2 linked regions of the Xenopus tropicalis genome follow. The protein of the gene in region 2 purifies or fractionates together with the protein of the main gene of each other region. This does not show direct contact. Links are inferred from orthologs where the notes say so. Each region holds a gene or a part of one and is shown on either strand. Other genes may lie near its edges.

What was found. Proteins that work in one complex are often made in the same cells at the same time.
Region 1: the proteins of itga6 (region 2) and cd151 purify together in Homo sapiens (co-immunoprecipitation; 3 studies listed by BioGRID and IntAct, with this or other methods). This does not show direct contact. The link is inferred for Xenopus tropicalis from reciprocal best matches to the Homo sapiens genes ITGA6 and CD151.

Annotation. Positions count from the first base shown.
Region 1 is NC_030680.2:31,275,537-31,279,810, reverse strand, and holds the start of cd151 (CD151 antigen), read left to right. Parts: upstream 1-1,337; 5' UTR 1,338-1,435; intron 1,436-4,274. UniProt on the Homo sapiens protein: Structural component of specialized membrane microdomains known as tetraspanin-enriched microdomains (TERMs), which act as platforms for receptor clustering and signaling.
Region 2 is NC_030685.2:67,286,176-67,289,824, reverse strand, and holds part of itga6 (integrin alpha-6), read left to right. Parts: intron 1-352; coding exon 353-484; intron 485-2,271; coding exon 2,272-2,485; intron 2,486-3,649. UniProt on the Homo sapiens protein: Integrin alpha-6/beta-1 (ITGA6:ITGB1) is a receptor for laminin on platelets. Integrin alpha-6/beta-1 (ITGA6:ITGB1) is present in oocytes and is involved in sperm-egg fusion.

The DNA.
Region 1 (4,274 bases), on a different chromosome or scaffold from region 2:
CCCTGGCCCAGTGAATTACTTTTATTGAAAAGCCGTTTGGAACAATGAACCTATTAGTGTAGCAGCAGAGTTCTTTCTGTGCATATCAGCATGCCCCTTGTGCTTATGTATCTGCCCATGTACCCTCTGACTCTCCTCCCAATGATTGGTACTAATAGCAACCACATTCCCCATGCAACTGTGCCATCACAGAACTTAAAGTGTAAGAATTGGTAGATATGTTTAGTATTTACATATGCAGCCTGCAGCCCTCCAGCCCAGGGTCCCCTGTGACACCTTAAAATGACAGTGCTGCACATTTTATGATTTGTGGCTGAAAAGGTAAATTGATAGACAGGGCAAGAACAGGAACCTGACTGCAGGATGGCTGGGGCAAAAATGGCAAAAGTTAAATGCCCTCCAGCTGTTAAACTACAACAATGATTGAATTGCTAGCCTGAGGATGTTTTGTAAAGGTGGCCATACACGGGCCAATTTGGAAGCTTATCTGCCTGTGTATGGGCACCACTGACGGGCCTCCCCTACCAATATCTGGCCTGAAATTGGTCAGATCTTGATCAGGCAGGTTTAATTTTCCATTAGATCAGGGACTGCATCAGCTTGTTGATGTGGTCCCTGATCCAACAGCGCCTTTGCCCACTGTATAGCCTGGTATCCCCCACCCGTTGGTGGGCATATTGGTAGAAGATCTGCTGGCTTGGTGACCTCCCCAAACAAGTGGATCTTACAGTGTATAGTAACAATAAATCAGGGGCTTTGACCTTCTGAATAATCCTTGGTCCTTAATTCATGATGCTGTAAAGATGATAAATGGCGGGTAACATGGCAATCCAATTTAAGGAACTCTGTAAACCTTAGGAATTTACCATGAAAGTGCTGTTCCCCTCTGAGCCCCTGTACCTACTAGCCTCCTATTATTTTCAGGGTCTGCTTCCCCTACAATAAAGGGTAATAAGCAGCCATGAACAGATAAGTCTAAGCAACTTTCCAAAATGCATTCACTAAACTTTTTTCAAATGATCTGGTTCTGACTCCTGAGACAATGTATCTGAGGTCAGTTCCCCCTTCATTCCGGTCTGTTAAATCAACAACATTGTTTCAGGAGTAAGAACCAGATCTAATCAGATACTGATTTCAATAGCAATTACAATTACACAAAGCTAGAACCAATGGACATTTATGTCGCATTCTCTAAATATGCCCATAGGTGGCGCCTGTTCCTTTAGTGTTTACTTCCCGCATGGCCCAGGCAGGGTTAATAATGAGAGGGCTGGCCCTGGCGAGGTGCGGCTTTGTCATCGCTTTCTCCTTTGCTTGGCTCTGGTGTCAGTCTGTCCCGACACCCTGTCTGGTACATTAAAAGCACTGCTGCCGAACCCGGTCTGGATCTGTTGCCCTGAGAAGATTCCATAGTGTTACTGAGTCGCAACCGCAGGTAAGAGACGGAAAACTGGGAGTGTGATGTAGCGTGATCCCTTGTTCCTTGATCTGCACCAACCAGGAACTGTCCCTGGATCGGACCAGAACTGAACTATACATGTATATTGGGTCCGGGGCTTGCTGCTCCATCTACACTGTGTGTAAACAACTCTGGGCTGGAGGCAGATGCATAGGAAAAGGGGCAACTGCACCGGGGCGGGGGCAAACACACTACAAAGTGATTATGGAGGTGTAATCAGAGCTAAGTGCTTGTTCCTTATCCCACGGCAGGAATATTGCGATTTACTGCAGGGTCTGTAGAAGGAGGAGGTGGAAATACAAAGGCAGTTGTGCAGCGCAACATGTGCATAGGTGGGAACTGGGCTGAGCTTATTCAGCGCTGTACAAAGTGCACAAAGGTCTATCAGTCTGTGTTACTGTTATTATTAGCCTCAAGCAGTGGTGTAACTGTCTGCTAGCAGACCCAGTGGCTGCAGGACCCACATACCCCTTGGATCCGCCCTCCGGCATGTGCTTGCCCCTAGTGTTCCTATGTGCAGGGATTTGGGTTGAATTTAACAGGGTGTAGAGGGCCCCCCAAATGTTTTTCTGCAGGGAGGCTGGAGATAGTCATGTTACATCACTGGCCTCAACACTGAGTTTATTATACATGTATTACAGGTATGGGACCTGTTATCCAGAATTCTTGACACCTGGGTTTTTCTGGATAAAGGGTCTTTCTGTTATTTGGATGTCAATACTTTAACTCTGTTAAAAAACATCTAAACCTTAAATAAATGCAAGGAGATTAGTTAATTATAAATGTGTTGGGACCAAGTGCAAGGTACCGTTTTATTACAGAAAGAAAGGAAATCAACTTTAAAATCAAATTATCTTATTAAAATGAAGTCAGTGGGTGATGGCCTTCACGTAATTCCGAGTTTTCCCAGATCTCAGACCTGTAACAATTTACACCTGAGACTGTTGCAGGGCCCCAGTCACAACAGACTTGATAGGGCCCCATTATTTATAAAGGGGGACTCTCCAACCTGTGGCCTTTCAGTTATTGAGTTGGCATGCAGCTAAAGGGCAATACTGTGGGCACTATGTCTCCATCTTTCCCTGTATAGCTGATATCCTTCATTCTTGTTGCTACACCTGTTGCCCTGATGGGCCCCTCTTGGTGGGCAGCAGCCTGAAATGAGTGCTGTAAGTGTCTTTTGTTTAAGGACAGATTGGCTCCTGAAAGTTTCTCAGGATACGGGGGAGTTGTAGTGCTGGAGGGCCGCAGATTGGCCAGTTCTGGTTTATTGTTCCTGTCTATACTGTGGAAGGCATGTGAGGAATGTCATGTTGGGTGACTGTCACCAGGCTGCCCTTGGGGCGCACCTTTTTTGCAGAACAGGGCGGAAATCCATCCCCTCAGGTTACTAGAAATCTGACACCTGGAGGGAAGGGCCCGGCCCATGTATCCATCTGTGTGTACAGTCTCTGGGCTTCCCACAGAAACACTGTTGTAAATGGGCCATCGTCCTCTGCCTAATAGGATTCTACAGTTTAATCAGGCGCAGCTCAAATATTTGCTGCTGTCACCTCACACCCCCCCTGGCACCCTGACTGCACTGGAGAGCAAACAGCAATAAAAGGAGCTTTGCCTGCACAAACCCTTATTTAGTGATCAGCGAGGGATAAAACTCATTTAGTATTTTGTCTGGTATTTAAAGGGGAACTTCACCTTTAAATGACCCTTTCCTTTGTTATAGTTAGACTGCTTAAAGCAATGTTCCACTTCATTATTTACCTGGTACGGCTTTGAATTATTAGCTTTTCTCTTATTTCTCTGTCCAGCTGGTAACTAGATATGCCACTTGGTTGTCAGGGTCACTGACCCCAGGGACTAAAAACAAGACTGCAAGGCTTTTACTGCAGTTTCTTATTGCTCCTTTTCCCATTCAGACATAAAAAGCTGCTGCTTATAGAATTTTATACAGGTATAGAACCTGTTATATGTTAAAGAAACCCAATAGGATAGTTTTGCCACCAATAAGGATTGATTATATCCTAATTGGGATTAAGTGCAGGGACTGTTTTACTACTACAGAGAAAAAGTCAGTTTTAAAAAATTGAATTATTTGCTTATAATGGAGTCTATGAGAGATAGCCTTCCCGTAATTTGGAACTTTCTGAAAAGCAGTTTTTGGGATAACCGATCCCATACCTGTACTAGTTTCCATGCCAGAAACGTGCCACCTTAAATTGACCTATTGACTTTGATGTATTTTGCCAGGTCTGGTGTGGTGAGAAATAATTGTTTAGGAGTAAGGGTTCCCACCTGGCTGGTTTTTCACTAGCCTAGCCAGTATTACGGTGTTACAAATTTACTTGCTTTACAGTATTTTCTGGTTAATTTGTAAGCATCTGTCCTTCCTGGCCCGTGACCTGATCACCACTTACAGCTGAGCCTCTTTTCCAATGCCCTGTTATCTTCCCTCCCTTCTAATCAAATATCAACACACTCAGTCCCATTCCACCCCTTTTATGTTACCACCCCTCCCCTTTTATATCAATGATCTGCCACATCATGGTCCTGCCCCCCATCGGTGCAGCCAGAGTTTTTCTCTCAGAAAGGCACCAACCTTATCTGAATGTACAGGCTTTCCAGTACTACAATTCTAATCAGTTTAGCTTGTAGGTTTCCCTTCTATTTGCACAGTTTGGCTGGAGGCAGGACAATTTGATTAATGTGATTTGGACAAATACTGCTGCATCATAATGTAACCAATAGAGAGGCCTGCATGGGTCTAATAGGGTGTAGCTGCAACCTGAGTTATGACCTGCTCAGACCCACTATGGCA
Region 2 (3,649 bases):
AAACAAAGCTGCTGTGTAGCCACGGGGGCAGCCATTCAAAGGAGGAATGCCACAGGTTAATTAGCGGATAACAGATAATACCTGTGCCTTTTCTCCTTTTTTCCAGCTTGAATGGCTGCCCCCATGGCTACACAGCAGGGTATTTATATAAACTATGGTTGCGATTCTTTAGCAAACATACTAGTTTCACCAGTGCAGGGCAACAGTAAATAATATTTTTATTACTTTAAAACAATTTCATTTTTTGGTGTTACTGTTCCTTTAAAGGTATTTTAAAGGTGAACTACTCCTTTTCACTCATTTCCAGTGTCTTTCTTTATTTTTATTTATAATTTTTCATTTCATCCTTTAGGAGTGGTCCGGGCAGAACAAAAAAATAACACTTTAGAAGACTTGTTTATTTTTGAAGATGGACCTTATGAAACTGGTGGTGAAAACAAACGAGATTCAGATTTAGTTCCTGCACCAGATAACAGTTACTTAGGTAATAATAGTCTGAGGCTACAAAGCCCTTTTGGAACAAACTGCAAGACTGTAGTTTAATCAGCAGCCTTCCATTTCTTATTGAGCTACAAATCCCAGCACCCTGTAAGAGTAGGGATACTGTGAGTTGGAATTCAGAAGCAGGAGGAACACATTTACATTTCTAGCATTGGACAGTTGTACTTTGTATCACTGGGTTGCTCTAATAATGTCATCAAGGACTGGCTTGTGTCTGTGTTTCCGTAACCTTGCTGTCTCTCTATCTGCTTTCTCTTTCTTCTGGGACTTCATACGTACGTATAGGCCTTCTGTTCATGACAACCATGTCCAATACTGATCCAGACCAGTTTTTGTACAAATCTGGGCCCCCCAGAGCCAGGTCGGAGAAAACCGTTGATGTGATGACTAATAGCTACCTAGGTTGGTGGTAACTGGCTGCAGAAACTCTTTCCATTGATACGTCACCTGTGGCATCACTGGCAAACCATTCTGGCCACTCACACTTCCTGCGTGCTCATCCCATGATGCATTTCTACATACATGTAATAGCGTAAATAGAATTGAAATACCATACCCAGCATCACCCCTGTCAGTTTCATCTCCACAATATCAGGAGGGAGATATTCCTGCTTTTCGTATTTAGTGTACATGTGTTTCATGGTCACTTAGACAACAAATACTAAAATCCTATTGGAGAATACTGTATATTAAATCTCTCAAAACTAAGCCATGTTATATCTGTTTGCATAGGTTAACTGAAAATAATTCAAGCATATACACATCTGTTAATATTCTCCTACTTAATTCACCCCATATTTAGTTGTACCTTGAAACACATAGGCAAAATTAAGTTTATACATGGCATAAATATATTTGCTCCATTCCTTTACATTTTTGCAGCCTCCATCTTGGTGTTGCTCCAGACATGGGACACCTGTGGCTCCAGATGTCCTTCAGCAAATCTGGGGGGCTTTAGGTGACTTATCCCTGGTATAGCAGCATGGTATCATCAAAATGCATGCACTGAGTTATTTCTTATAAATGATGTTATTGAGAGACACGTGTCTACAACAGAGTGGCTCCTTTCTGGTAATGAAGACACCATGTTCATTTATTGCATGTTAATTGTATTTACTTAAAGGGATTATTATCAGCATCATTACCCTAATTTTTAACCCAGTTCTGTAGATACTCCCAAAATAGGAAGAATATTTTTACTTTAGTAAATAGTTTTCTAAAACAGGTCATTGAATAAAATTAATTGACTTTAGCCATATCAGTTGTGCAAAGCTAGCTGTTCAGGTTCTCTTTCTGCCAGTCTTTGACATCACCAAAGCGGTGTTGCAGAGACATGATAAAAAGGGCTACTTTCTCCATTAAAGCTTGGAGCAATCTATAGATTCTGGCAAATGCCAGAGTAGCTGCCATAAGATGCCACAGACAACCAATATTTATTGATCCTGGTGGGGCCTGTTTGGACCTCTCTTTACTTGAAATGCCAGGTACTATTTTGAATCTCATTCTGGATCAGTCTCCATCTGGTCCACTTCCACCCCCCCAGCAATGACACCAACAAGAATATGAGATCAAGGGATGCTTAAGACTACTGGGCTGATTTCTGAGTGAGACTGCAGAGACTGGTTTAACAAGTTTACAGTGCTGGTGATATTAATTTTAATTATAGGAGTAAAACGTAGTATTGTAAATAATGATCCCTTTAAGCTGCAGACCATCATAAAGCGAAGTGAGATTTATCTTATTCCAGTCTTCTCTGGCTTTAATTTGTAGGATTTTCTTTGGATACCGGGCGAGGGATAACGTCCAAGGAAGAAATGACTTTTGTTTCTGGAGCCCCGCGAGCCAATCACAGTGGGGCTGTAGTCCTGCTGCAAAAGTTTCCACCCAATGAGAGGATGTTGTCTGCTGTACATACATTTCAAGGAGAAGGGCTGGCGTCTTCCTTTGGTTATGATGTAGCGGTGGTCGATCTTAATAGAGATGGGTAAGGCTGCTTGTGTATAAGCCATGAAAGCTCAATGGTAGTTCTGTCAGTACCTATGCCAGAGACTTGTGATTTCAAGCAAGACTTGTTATGTGCCTGGGCAGTGTTTCTCCAATTTCCTGTTGGCCGCGTGTGCTCAAATGGTTACTTTTTATTCAATTGTGTGAGCACAAAAACAGCAAAGTGTGGCTTACTGATATTATCACTTATTGGTCATGTGTTACCAACATGAGCTGTCAGGCAAGTGATTCATGTTCTTCTGTGCCACCGCCTTTCAGTTGTCATTATCCCCGCACTCTGTTAATGGTGTTAAGAAAAAGAAACACAGATAAGAATTTGTCAGGAAACACAAAGTGAATTGCACAAATTCTTTTCTCTGACACTGTTCCACAGATCTGCTTTTATTTTAATCTCCAGGTCAGGCTCATATCCTTCCTGTGCATACGGCTGTTAGGGCTATGGATGTGCGCCTGAGAGGCACAGACCCTGAAACACGTAGAGGCCAGTTTATGAAGGATATAGCTATATTATTTATTAAAATCCAGTTAGATTTTTCCCTTTCTCTCTTAAATTCTAGGTTACAGTGTGCAAAAGAGCTGTTTCCCAATTGTGCAAATTTGTTTTTCAAATTGTCTTTCCCGCTATTAACTTTTTCATTTTTGGTTAGTGTTGATACAGTTGGGTGTATCATTGAAGCAAAAAAATGTATTCTCAATTGACAAACCCCTCTGCTTTGATAATGCATTGATTGTTGCAGTCTTTCTCCTGACTGTGAAGAAGGTGTTTAGAAGATCCAGTGGATTCTTAATGTTAAAATGAGAAAAGTCATTTCAACCAGTAATCTCAAGCTCTTGCAGAAAAACCCTGTTACCTGACAATGAGATACACTGTGACTGGTTTACTAAGGAAGCTTGGTGCTATTGTCTATTCATTTGCACCCATGCACAGCCATCAGTGGGGTGTTTTTAGTGTTGCCACTGGGAAAGATACCAGTCCTCCACTCGCTTTTATTTACCAAAACTGGCATGAAGTCATACAGGTACCTGTATAACTAGTACAGTCATACTAGTCATACTAGTCATTCAGATAAACCTGGCAGGTATCAAACATAGGTGGCAGAGGCAACCACCATTAGCCATTTAATTTGTAAATGCCTGTGTTCAT